Linked DNA regions of Saccharomyces cerevisiae S288C. The protein of the gene in region 1 interacts with the protein of each later gene in a pairwise test. Each region holds a gene or a part of one and is shown on either strand. Other genes may lie near its edges.

Region 1 (6,817 bases):
AAGATAATCTTTAGTTTCCAATGGTGGGCCCCATGGGACATACTTGATTATGTTTTTAGCGCCATGGTTGGTAATTAGGTCATAGGTAACATTATCTGCCATACCTAGTAATTGCCCCAACACAATGTTCGATTTGGCATAAGAGTTGTCTTGGGTAGATTTTAGCAAATTAGTAACGAGCATTTGGGATTGGTAATTATGAGAGGCGACAACCAAGTGACCAAAATAAGAATCCTCGCCATTGATGATTAAATCATTGACAACTTGAGTGATGATACGATCGTAATTTTCGTCAGTGCCCGTTTTATCGCCAAAGATAATTTGGTTACGGTTTTTTTCAGAATGAATATAAGCACCACGAACCAGTTTCAGCCCAAGCTTATAGCCGTTTTCTTGGGCCAGCTTCAATTCGTGCAAAATATGGTCACCAGAGTCCCTTAGGTACAACTGCCAAGTACCGACACATGATATCAGTTTAGATGAAGTGGGATTGAATTTTTGAAATAAGATTCTCTGTAATTCGTAAACACCATTCTCCTGCAAATCATACTTCTCAGCGTCAATAGTGGAAACCATAAATGGGGCCTTTCTTTCAGGGTACTTCTTTAACAAAGATTGATTTAGTTCAAAAATCTCTTTTGTAATCTTAGAGCAGTTCTCGATCAGCTGATCCCTTTGAGCCTTGTAGGCGGGATTACTGAAATTGTACAGAACCTCGTGAGGGTTATCGACCAAAGCAGAGGGTTTTAGAGCGATATAACCTGGAGCAATGTCATTGATTGGCTTAGATTCCAGCTGGCCAATAATATTGGGCAGTAGGATGTTGTGGACAGAGCTGATTGTTTCCTTGACAATTTGGTCTACTGGAGTACTGGACAAACTCTTTGTACCTTCGGAATTTTCAATAGTTAATGAAAGCATCATGTTCGATATACCTCTCTTCTGCAGACGTTTGCCGCATTCGATGACCTCTTTAAAGTTCTCACCGCCACAGTATAAAGAAGAGACGAAGAATTTTATTACTGGGATGGGGATGTAAGGGAACAACTTAATGATCGTGTTCAGGAAGAAGCTGTTCAAGGTCGCAATACCGATGAATCCCAGTTGGAATAGTTCCTTCTTGGGAAGTGTCTGTAGAAAATTGATTGAGTTAGGAGGTGCCATCACACTATTGCCGTTGGCATTGGCGGCCGGAGTTTCAACCATCAGATTAGCAGCCGTGTTAGAGTGTGTCGGAGTCTTTGACACATAGGACCTCTTTATCAAAGGAAAGCATAGAGAGGGTATGCGCGATTTAGTAACTAATAAGGAGCTTTTGGAAGCTATCATTTCTAGCGTGCGTTAGTGTTATTACTATGTAGCGATGTTTATGATATATAAAAGACAAAAGAGAAGAGCTGCTACGGACTTGTGGAGTTTGTGTTCGGTTCCCAGCAAGCTTTATATAAGAAGGCAGAAGGGTGAGAAAATGGGCTTAGTTCATGCGATTTCTCCTGATAATAGACGATACTAAGTACAATAATGAGATGATAAGGGAAATAGCGCCACTCATCAATTGTTTATCATTCATTTTTCTTGTGTAGATATGCTTTTCGGGATGCGAAACCCGAGGCGTGGTAACCGGAAAGCCATTGCCGAAAGGAAATTCCAATCAAAAAAGCGGTGGAGCTAACGGAGGGAATAAGCGAAAGAATAATGAAAACAAAAATTATGTCCCTGCGCGATTTTTCGCATTGTGTCTCATTTGGATAACCATTTTAGCAACTGATTTTCATGTAATGCTGATCGGAACAAGTCCGCTTCGTCGATTTCATCCCTTTCTGCCTCGCTTTCACCTTCACTTGCAGTGTTATCTTGTTCTTGATTTTCTTGATTTTCTTGATTTTCTTGATTTTCGTCTTGATGGACTGGGGGCGCATCCCGTCTGGACAACTGGCTTTGTAGAAACAGATGTGCCATCTCCTTGGTGCGGAACAGTTTGCCCTCTCGCGGATAGTCTAGTTCCCATTTGCGCAGTGTCAAAACAATGCGCCTTGGAAGCACGTGTAGGTCACGTGATCGGGCTTCTGTGCATAGTGCACGCTCAACTTGCCGGCGAGTTACCACCGTCGGTAGCGACTTGTGTCCTCGAGATTCGGCCGCCCTGGCGCTGACGCTGCGGGAAGCCATACCCGCAAGGGCCGTGCACCACAGCAATGTACGTGTGTAGCGACTTACGCAGCGCTCCAAAGTCTGCGTCGCGCTGCGCGATAGCGGCAGCGCGTGGCGGGGCAAGGGTCTTATCTCCGCGATACGGCTGTGCGAGTAGATGGCCACCCACCTGCGTTTCCAGCTTTCATAATCGATAAGGCCCTCGCAGTGTCCTTCCTCATCGGCAACCTCGGCTGCGCCTTCCGTGATGGCCATCACTGTCTCGCTCAGTTTTGTCTCCAGGGCAACCCACTCAGCGCTCATTTCGTACGCAATGGGCGCTCCGTCGTCACCCGCCTTACGCGATCTCGCGCTCGCACTCGCTCTCCTTAACAACCTGTAATAACCTAGAATCTCCATGGCGCTCTTCCGAGGCAACAATGAGCGCCACTCGTCTACACGGTGGATACTATAGCGTGAAAGGCACCAGAAAAAGGTATTCTTCTCCTCGCTGTCCCAGTCTACACCAACGCTAGAGATTTCTACACCAGCATTGGCGGTACCCGCCTTTTCATGGATGCTCTTTACATGTACTTTGGAAGGATGGAACTCAGCTGGGCGGCCTGACGCGGCACCATTGTAGAATTCCTCGACCTCCTTATTGTACAATTCGACGTACTTCCGCAATTGTTGGTGCTCCATCCTAGGTGACCGTCGTATGCGCTGTGCTTTCCTAGCTCTTCTTCCACTTCTGTTTCTCTATACTTTTTTTTTTGTTTTTCACCTCGCCCGCCTTTTCTTATTTCAGTGAACTGAAAAAAAAAAAAAAAGTTATGTATCTTTAATGTAATAAAACTAGTACATAATATATACGGAGCTTGAAGGCACTGGAGAAAATATAGAGTAAGCATATGTGGAAATTCAACAAAAAGCTCGCCCGTCTTACTTACCGTCTTTATTCAAGCTCAGGCCCAAGCTCGCCCCTTCATGGGAAGAAGAAACTGCCGCAAAATCTGAAATTCGTCGTCTTGAACCCTACCCAATCTGGGCTAGTGAAAAATGATCAGAAGCAGCCTAGACACAGGCCGTCTAAGAAACGTAGCCATAAGGAAACTGGAGATAACAACCTCGATTTCGGCTCGAAACTCCTTGTCTTCGAAAAGCAGAATTCACTAGATTCCGCATTGAACTCCATCCGATTGAAGAAACCGACAAGCGCCAGTCTGCCCTCCCTGGAATACAATGCCCTTCTCCAATCGCTTACATCAAGCTACAATCGCTACCAACTGCGCGAGTTCATCTCCACACATCAGCCAGACTCCTCTTCACATCTGACGCACTGGAAGAAAAGCAAGCTGTCCCAATATATAATTGAAAAAATCTGGAATTGCCAACCAATTTCAACACCCACCACTCCCACAGGCATCAAGTCCACATCATTGACTTTCCAGTTCGATTCTCCTAGAGAAATTTTCCTTTTACTCATCACTCAAAATGGTAAAATACTCACCAACTTCAATAAGCTCGGGCTGACATTCATCATCTCCATTCAGGATAACGAATTGACCGTCAAGGGTTCGCCTAGCTTGCTCAAATACGCAGAAATATCCTTAAACAAAATATGGTCAAACATCACTCATGAAAATGTGCGTATGTATTCCCTCATGCCATCAAAAGACGTCATCAACCTTATTCAGAAGGAAACTCACACTTTTTTTGAATACCTCCCGGACTTGCAAATGTACAAGATTTCAGCCCTAAGCACCAAGAAAATATCCATGGCCAAAGTCTTTTTATTAAATGCCGTCGCTTCTAATCCTAACACAACTCAACACCACCACACAATAGCCTCACCAGCACTCAAGACAGAACTCTATCCGTTCAACAATACTCTAGAGAACTTGGACTGGCTAAACAAGTCACAAGATTGGGCAAGATTACAGTCAGTTGTCCCTAAAAATTGCACAGATCTGATGACTCCCACTGAAAACGCCACACCAGAATTGACAGATGCGCAGGTCAGCCAATTCGAATCTTCCTTGTCTAAAAATATACCATCTCTCTCCCCTTCCGACTCTATTTCCCAATCTTTATCAATAACGCTAGGTCACTCCTTACAGTCCGCGTCTTTTTCTAGTATTTTCCAACCTCTAATACATAAGAGTTTTATTTCAAAATTACTGAATCTACCAATGTACAAAGAATCATCATCATCAGCCGTACCTGTGCCTGTGCCTCTTGATCAACATCTAATAACAAATGCGCATCAATCCTTCATACAGCTGAACTTCACTCCTGTGCCGCCCACCTCTGGCTCCTCCTCGTCCCCTTTTTTGCAGATTTGGTTCGAGATTGACGAATTCGATAACATTGTTACCACCTCAATGAGGCCTCTTTTGAAATTACAAGAAAATTCTGTTATCTTAAGAACTCCACAATGCCAGACAGACTATAAGATCACGTCAGATTACATTCAAGATCTTTTACCTGATTTCGACCAGACCAATCCGGATGCTTGGTTATCTGAACAAAAAGGCCTCCAAGAATTTCTTCTCAAGTCACACTGGAAGTTAAACAAATATCAGAATCTTATGAAAAAAATCAACATTTCTTTACCAGATAACCTAATACAGCAATACCAATTGACTGATGTTTTGACCCATCGTGTCTTGAATTTACGATTTCCTACGAACACTGCCCAAGATGATAAATACATCATTCAATATTCAGATATCAGCCGCGGATTTTTGAACAATGGCTCCTACAGACAATTAGATTTCATCAATGTGAACCCCAGTGAAACCTCACTAAAAACCTTTATCAATGATGTTTTAAGCTTTTAAGTTTAACGGAAAAGAGTAATGACAAAACCGCATACCCCCCCCCCCTCCCCCTCTTTACCGCATCTACTCTATTTCCGACACATGTAAATAAAAAAGGCATTTCGTTTATATATATACTAAAATAATATATCTTTGTGTATTAATAAATTACTTATTGAGACCAAGCGTTTTTGATAGCGCCGACTTAACAGCAGCACTCTTTTGCTTTTTTTTTCCTTCCGCTGTACCTGGACCATCGTTTCCTGTTTGTGCCTCCACAGGTAAGGGCGGCAACTCTTCGTCATCTTGATCCGCTGGTGCCGTCATCTCACCTAACGCATTTAACCTTCTTTGTCTTTCGAATTCAGTTTCTGATTCATATGCATTATCGTCGTAATCTTCACTATCGTCCATGTTATAACTATCACCTAAATCCTCCTCAGATGAAGGTTCATCTTCCAGATCTAAGGAATCTTGAACTCCTCTCGGTGGCGCAGGTGTTAATGTCCTTTTCTTTAACATCCCTGGGCCCTTCCTGGAGGGTCCTTCGATGGCTTTTTCTTCATCTACTGGAGGCGGTACGCCGCTGTTCGCTTTGCTCTTTAGTCCTACTGCTGTTAAAGCTCTTGATACAACACTATCGTTTCTTGGGCGGTTTTTACTTTTATCATCATCAGATTTATGAGGATTTATCTTGTATCTTTTTATAACATCACCGTCCTCATTCTCGATGATTAACAGATTGTCTATTTTAAATGCATGATACTTGCTGTTTTTATTTTTATCCTTTCCTTTATCAACCAATGAATGTATCTTTCCTAAAGATGTGGGAGTTAAAATTCTCTTTAACCTTCCCCCACTACTACTGGATAGATTGGTCATTGTGGTAGTTAAACTTGAATGGGCTGTACTATCAACACTAACTTCGTCATCTCTCGCCTCATTGCGATCCTCGATATCTACTTGATTCAAGATTTCACCTTGCTTATTTTCAATAATCATTCTATTACCATCTAAATAAGCAGTACCAGGTTTCATTTCTTCCTCTTTCATTTTTCGAATTCTCCTCTCTTCACTACTGGCCATTGATCTTTCACTTTCATTTTCCATCTCGTCTTCGCTTTCAATCTCGCTTTCTGTCTCTTCTCCATCGTAACGGTTTCTTGGTACGTAAGTTCTTCCTCGGAGAGATGAAGATCTTTCAGACGACTCAAAACTTGGTGTGTTATTGTAATTATCGCTATATTCCTTTTCCGGTGTGTACTCATCTTCTTCTTCATCTCCACCCATTCCAATCTCCTCATTACGTTGTGTATTGACGGCTGTGCTCAATGCAAATGTGGCGGCGCGTGCTTCCTTTTCTTTTTGCAACCTTTCTCGTCCCAGATCATTCAACTCATCGTCATCATACATTTCATTTTTAGATCTTGATGAAAATATTTCTCTACCTTTGTTTCTCAGTTTCTGTCTTCTGTTCAATCTTTTCTCTTTTCTTGACAATTTCCTCCTCCTTGGCATACCACCAGCGGGTCTTGCAGGAATTCCGCTCGTTGCGACGCTACCAATTTGATCATTGTTTAATCCTTCTTCATCTTCACCTCCTGCTAGTCCCTTACGACCTCCTCCTTCTTCTGCTTCACCTTCATCCCCTGATAAAGTCATTTGAGTATCCATACGATGCAATGAAAATGATCGTCCAGCTTTATCCAACGATGGCAACCTTTGCATCCATGAACTTTTCCCATTATCACCATTGGTGGTGTGTGTAGTGAATGTTTTGGTTAACGTTATCGTGTTCAAATGACGACCTAGAGTTATGATTGCAACTGAAGAACCATGAACTATGATAGAAGTAACAATGAAAA
Region 2 (6,211 bases), on another chromosome or scaffold:
CGTACAAAAATTTCACTTAGTAAGTATTTTCTTGTCAACCGTATCGCTTCTTGTGTACTTGCTATTATCTGAGATTTCTGGTCTATGTGTAAGTAAGAGTTTGTTATCTCATAACACATCTCAGCAGCCTTGCTCAACTGCATATTGTGCTCCCCTATTTGTTTATTACTTTTTGCAAATGTTGCCCTCTATACCGAGAAAGTAATATCAGTTTTTTCCACTCTCAGTCAACAAAATCTTTCGAAGATTTTTCGAGGTTCTTTCTATAGACGGATCCTTAGGTTCTTGCTAACCAACGTGTTGTATATGAAACCCATCTCCAAATTTTGAGCTCTTCCCATCCTTTTGTTTCCTCGGACTCAATGAATTTGAAATCTGCCGAACAAGCTAACTAAAAAATAGGAAAATTGGAACAGAAGTTAAATGCGAGCAGGAACGTTTATTAGCGCTTTTAAGTCTAACACATATATATAACACTATTTACAAGGTTTGAATAATTTTCTACCTGTCTCTAGTTAAATTTTTTTTGAGGCTTTTGAGATAATTTTCAACAATTAGTAAGTCATTATTCGTGTCTTTATTCCATAAAACACCTACATTCACTATTTTATTTGCGCTGGACGAAACTTCCTCATCTGCACTGAGCTGTTCTCCTGCTTCAAGAAAGACATCCTCATTTAAACTTCTCATTTCTTTGACAATCTTATCCAATATATCCACGGTTTCAATATTTCCGATGACACCATTAACGCTCATCTCGGTAACCACACGTCTCAAGTAGCGAATCTCCTGGAAGTTTTCCCACAATAGCTGAACCAGCAAATTGTAGAAATCAACATTACAAATTGTTAGGTACAGTGAAGCGTCCATGTTGTTTTTACATTCATTATAAACATAGGAGATCAATGTGTACTTTCTGTCTGCCGGGAAATCAAAGTCACCTAATCTAAGCGATTTGACTATAATATATGGTAAAGTCATTGCAAGCGGTTTCGGTAGTTCTGCCGGTTTATTTATACACGCACTTCTAATGTCTTCGAAAATGTTTGAAGATTCTGCATTCATCTTTAACTCTAGGTCTTTGTTCCTTTTCTTGTAAATGTCTAGTGATTGCTTTAGGTATCTTAAAAGATCGTAATCACTTTTAACAGCTTCCCTCAAGTAGTCAATGTGAGGTTCTAAAACCTGATCCAGTGTGGTTTGGTACCGAATCTTATTACCAATTTCTTGCATCACTTCCTCGCTAAATTTGACGTTGGAATGTGCAACTGGCTGCCTCAAAGCTTCCATTCCCGAGCCCTTGCGCAGATTAAGATTCAGCAATTCTCTGTTGCTTTTATTAATGCTATTATCTTCGTCAAATATCTTTTCCAGCAAAGTTCTTGTCTGCTCACTTATCGTTTTAGTGCTAATAGCAGAAGGTTCTGCCCGTTCGTAGACATAGTCATTGCCTGCTGTTTCCTTCAGGAATTCATGGTCCTTATTTGGAAGCTTCCTTTGAGCTCTTTGACTGTGGTTAAAAACAATTTTTTCTTTTTTTACACTAGTTCCCTCGGAGTTGTCCTGTAGCCCATTGTAATACTTGTCAATTATTTTGCTAGCATTAGTGTGCCTCATGTTTTCAACCCTTGCTCCAGCTTCGAATAGTTCTCCAAATACCTTACGTTCCTCTTCGAGAGCTTGTTCAAATGTCTTTTCATTTGAAACTCTTTCTACGTTGTGAGTTTTTCTATCTTTCAAATTGGCTTCATTCAGCAAGCATCTATGGATGCAATGTATGTATCTATAGTTACAGTTTTTTAATATAGATGATGTTCTGATCATTGTATGGCGTGTTGTACTCTTCCTTAGTTCCCTCTTCTTCCTTTACAATTATCTCTCAAGTATAGCAAGCGTTGTCACATCACAGTTTTCGGCCTTGTTCGCCTAATTACATTTTTCTGAATAAATACGTATGTATGCTGCGAGTACTAGATACTGTTGATAAATGGTAACATAAATACTCTAGATCGCAAAAGCGCATGGAAGTTGAGCAGTAATATAATTTTAGAGGAATATGGTTATTATACTCCCTGAGAATAAGTGCACATTGGATGGGAAAATTTCGTAAAAAAAACTCTTGTAAAGACAATTGTTTCCTTAATAGCTATTATATAATCCAATTTGGTTAGAGTTTTGTATGCCGATTATTAACGTTACCCAAAAATAATACTGTCATACATCGGCTTGTTCTTGTTCGGCTTGTTTAAAGAAAAATTGAACGTAATAAAGTTTTGATATAGCATCCCAAAATGTACACTTTTTATTTAATTCATCTACTCCATCGTTATTATTGTCCATGTCATTGTTTTCGCTGAATAATATTTCGTTTGGAGGTAGCTCAATAGCAATATTTTCAAAGGGTTCATACGCAATAACGAGAAATTTTTTTCCCTTCTGTTTGGTATCTGATAGCTCTAAACCAGATACAATCCTAATGAGAGGAGGGACTTTAGCCTTATCATCGCTATCGACACTATTTTCTTTGACTTCACTGCTATAATTTACCTGGATAGCCAAACCTACTGAACCGTTCTTCGGGTTTTTCACGGTAGCTATTTTACAAACAGGGATCGTACCGTTATTCTTTAAAGATTGCTTAGCTTCAATTATCTTTTGTTGTTGTCGGAAATCATGAGTTGTTTGGCCTTCTCTCCCTAGAGAACTTTTCTCTATACTGATACCACGCCTTAACACATTTAAACCATGTTTTTTACCACCCAAATGCCTTTCAACGCTGGACCACGACATGTGCATTGTATTACATAGTTTACAAACCAGTTTACCGGAATGATTCTTGTAAATGTACGGATTGGACCTTACTTGATCGTCCTTTTCATCTTGGAAAGTGTACGGGACATTTTCGCCTTTACTAAGTAATGATTCGACTTCTTTCCTTCGTTGTAAGTTAAACTGAGATTCTGAGGCTATACCACCACCTCCTTTCTTTGACCCAACGCCTTCTAAATAGTTCATTTTGAATGTATGGATGCGTTAAATGATTTGAATTTGCTGTTCCACCTGCCCTTCTTACATTAAGCTATTTGTGAGAGCCTTGCGTCTTTAGCAGATTTTTTTTTTTCATTTTTTTAGTGAGATGGGCGGTACATGTAATATTTCACCCGGTACAATGAAAATAGCAGAATGTAAATAATATTTGACTACAATAATTGAAAGGAAAACAAAATTGTTTGCCATACTATGTAAATTGATATTAATTTGGCACTTTTAAATTATTAAATTGCCTTCTACTTAGAGGGTTTTGGGATGTTCATCTGATGTAACGACATACACGCCCTTATCCTTCTCTTGGCATTTAAAGTTCTTGTTCTTCAAATCGTTCCATTTCTTATGCGGAATCGTCCAGCCACATTTTTGGGCTACCATAGCTGCAATGTCATCACAGTACCCCAAAAGAGATAAATCAAATTCTGCGTGCTTGACGGGATCACGATTAATCAGGACTTGGGGAACGTGGGAAGGAACCATGTTTACGATTTCAGACACTGGCGCTACTTTTAAACTTGTCCCAATGCAAATCAACAAATCACATTCTAAGATATCTTCGCGAATGCTCTTATGAAATTTATTTGGCAGTGCTTCGCCAAAGAATGTGATATCTGGTTTGAGAACGCCATATGAGTTAAGGATATATGGAGGCCTTTCCGACATTGAACCCTGTGATGCAGCAACACCTACTTTATTATTATATCCCTCTGGGAAATATTCTCTTCTTTTTTTGTAACAGTACGGGCATAGTGGAAGTTCGAGGTTTCTAATTTTATTAAATATCCTCTCACCGGGTAGGTTCCAATGGCAGGTAACGCAGGTGGCAGTAGCAAAAGAGCCATGGCACTGCACCAGTTTATCTGTGCTTATTCCCGCATAAGATTCCAAATTATCAATGTTTTGAGTATAATTTCTCAATAATTTCCCTTTCATTTGTAGCATCTTAATGAAACTATGCAATGGAGAATAAATTTTTTCTGGAGGTAAAACCATATTGGCAATATTATAGAAAACAGAGGGGTCGTGCATAAATATATTGTAATTGAAAACGTCTTGGGGATCATCGAGCCCCAAATGTTTGATCTTTGAATAGAACCCCTCAGAAGATCTGAAGTCCGGGATCCCTAATGAAGTTGAAACACCTGCACCAGTCAGGACCAAAATTTTTCTAGCGGTATGTAATTTTTGAATAAAATGATCAATAGTGAAAAAATTGGATAATCTTAATCTTGTACATAGAACTTTGTTAATTGCTCTTTGCAAATCTTTGATTAGACGAACTGTTTGCTTTTTTGCCAATGGGTCTTCAACATTTGTGACAGATATTGCACTTCCCAAATCTTGAACACGCTCTTGCGAGTTGATATGGACAATACTGTTGATGGTGCCGATAAGCGCTTGATCTTTAACTTCAAAGCCTAGCAACTTGATAAGATAGTAAATGTATAACGAGTTCAAATCCTCGGGGAGGTAAGTGTCTAAAAATTTGTGTGCACCATAGTATTTCAGAAACATTCGAGCATTGAGAGACTCTCGTTTAGTGAAGGAGGGACCATAGAAAATACCATTTGATGGGTTTTTACTGATTATGATTGGCCCCTTGGGCGTCTCTGGTTTCAAAACGTCATTGGACATTGACACTACTGAAGCTGCTGACACTGCCAAGGGATCCATGTCATTAGTTGGTTTGAGCTCCATCGATGCCACTTCTCCGAGCGCAGCTTTAGTGTGCCCAAGTGGATCTGTTGTGTTGGTTTCCCTCAAGGAATCCGGCTGTGCTACTTTTATCTTCTTATGTGAAGGTTCATCATTATTTATAATGTCATCGGGTTGTTTTCTGATCGCGTCTTTATCTTGTGTGGGGCTTACTGTATTTGAAACCTTATTTTCGCTAGTCTTTGATACGGCGTATTTCATATGTGGGATGGTCATCCAGCTTTAATGTGCCGATGAGGGAAAAATGGTTTGAATGTGTCTACCGAAGCGATGCCTAATTTCTTGAAATACGTGAGAATGGGCTTTACATCTCTTCACTAAATATATTTTTCTTGGGTGGTGAAAAAGACAAGTCTTTCAAACTATGCGACCTAGAAAAAAAATATTTTACCGCAACTGGCGGCCAAAGAGGACAAAGAAAAATTCCTCGTTTTTTCTCTGAGATGGGAAAGCAAGAATTTTGGCAAGAAAAGGTCCTGGCTGTCCTGGACCATGGTTGGAAGGAGTGCTAGATGTAGCTTGGAAAAGAAATGACCTATAACAATGTATCTTTTATGAGCATATGCGCATGCATATAAGCATATACATAAAAAATATATACATAAATTAAGTAAGAGTTAATTGACACATTGAGGAGTTGCAGGCTACAAGTAATACTGTAGAATTTCGTTCTGGGAGTGAGGCTCCAAGGGAGAAAGACTGCTAATAATCATTTCTTTCAAATTAGAGCTTCCGATCGGAACATCATCGCGATAGCGATACAGAAATAGCAGGCCATTTATATCATTCTTACCGAATTTTTCTTGGTAGAAATTCAGCCAATCGAAGCTATTGTTAGATATTTCGTTTAATGGGAAATTTTCAGAATACTCTTTTTCAAGGCTCTTCGTGACTACTTTCTTCAAAATTGGATCAAAGGGGGTGTCGTTTCTTGTGGCATGTAACAAAACAATGGCCATACTACCAAATAAACCGCTCGTGGTGCCAAATCTCTTAGCGAATTTGTTTAGAGAAGCAAAGCACAAAGCTAACTTTCCAATTCTGTAGTTAAATTCAAAGTCCAAAATATAATCCCTTTCGTCTTCTCTGACTTGCATGGAGTAGTTATTATAAAATTCGGTAGCGAAGTCCTCCATTGGAGTGGAGGTTTCAATCAACTTTTCGCCGAATACATCGTTATCTTGATCACTCGGATAAGCAGCAACACTCTTGGCTTCAGTTTCTTTCCGTTTGTTCATAGCGGCTGCTTCCTTCTTAGCTTTTTTCTTTTGGCTGCTACTATTTTGGCCATTATTTTGGATTTCATCTGAATTTTCATCTAAAGAATCGGACTTTCTTTTTAAGCGATCATCATGCATTTGAAAGTAAAGCTTTGATGCTTCCTTCATTGCGCGAACATACATGGGTTTGGTATAAAGTGCCTTTCCCCATTCTAACATCTCCAGAT

Evidence for each region.
Region 2: the proteins of SLS1 (region 1) and MTF2 interact in binary tests that used the Saccharomyces cerevisiae proteins (3 or more experiments, as listed by UniProt).

The regions. Positions count from the first base shown.
Region 1 is NC_001144.5:419,698-426,514, reverse strand, and holds SLS1 (Sls1p), read left to right. Parts: upstream 1-3,041; coding exon 3,042-4,973; downstream 4,974-6,817. Other genes in the region: PUT1 (proline dehydrogenase), read right to left, coding at 1-1,329; RRN5 (Rrn5p), read right to left, coding at 1,741-2,832; NHA1 (Nha1p), read right to left, coding at 5,121-6,817. UniProt on the Saccharomyces cerevisiae protein: Involved in aerobic respiration where it is required for assembly of respiratory chain enzyme complexes III and IV. Also has a role in mitochondrial gene expression.
Region 2 is NC_001136.10:373,466-379,676, forward strand, and holds MTF2 (Mtf2p), read right to left. Parts: upstream 1,825-6,211; coding exon 502-1,824; downstream 1-501. Other genes in the region: FAD1 (FMN adenylyltransferase), read right to left, coding at 1-143; spliceosome assembly protein PRP11, read right to left, coding at 2,215-3,015; NAD-dependent histone deacetylase SIR2, read right to left, coding at 3,292-4,980; peptide alpha-N-acetyltransferase complex A subunit NAT1, read right to left, coding at 5,409-6,211. UniProt on the Saccharomyces cerevisiae protein: Required for the processing and/or for the stability of the CYTB and COX1 intron-containing pre-mRNAs and of the ATP6 transcript. Could be a stem-loop RNA-binding protein that plays a role in determining RNA stability.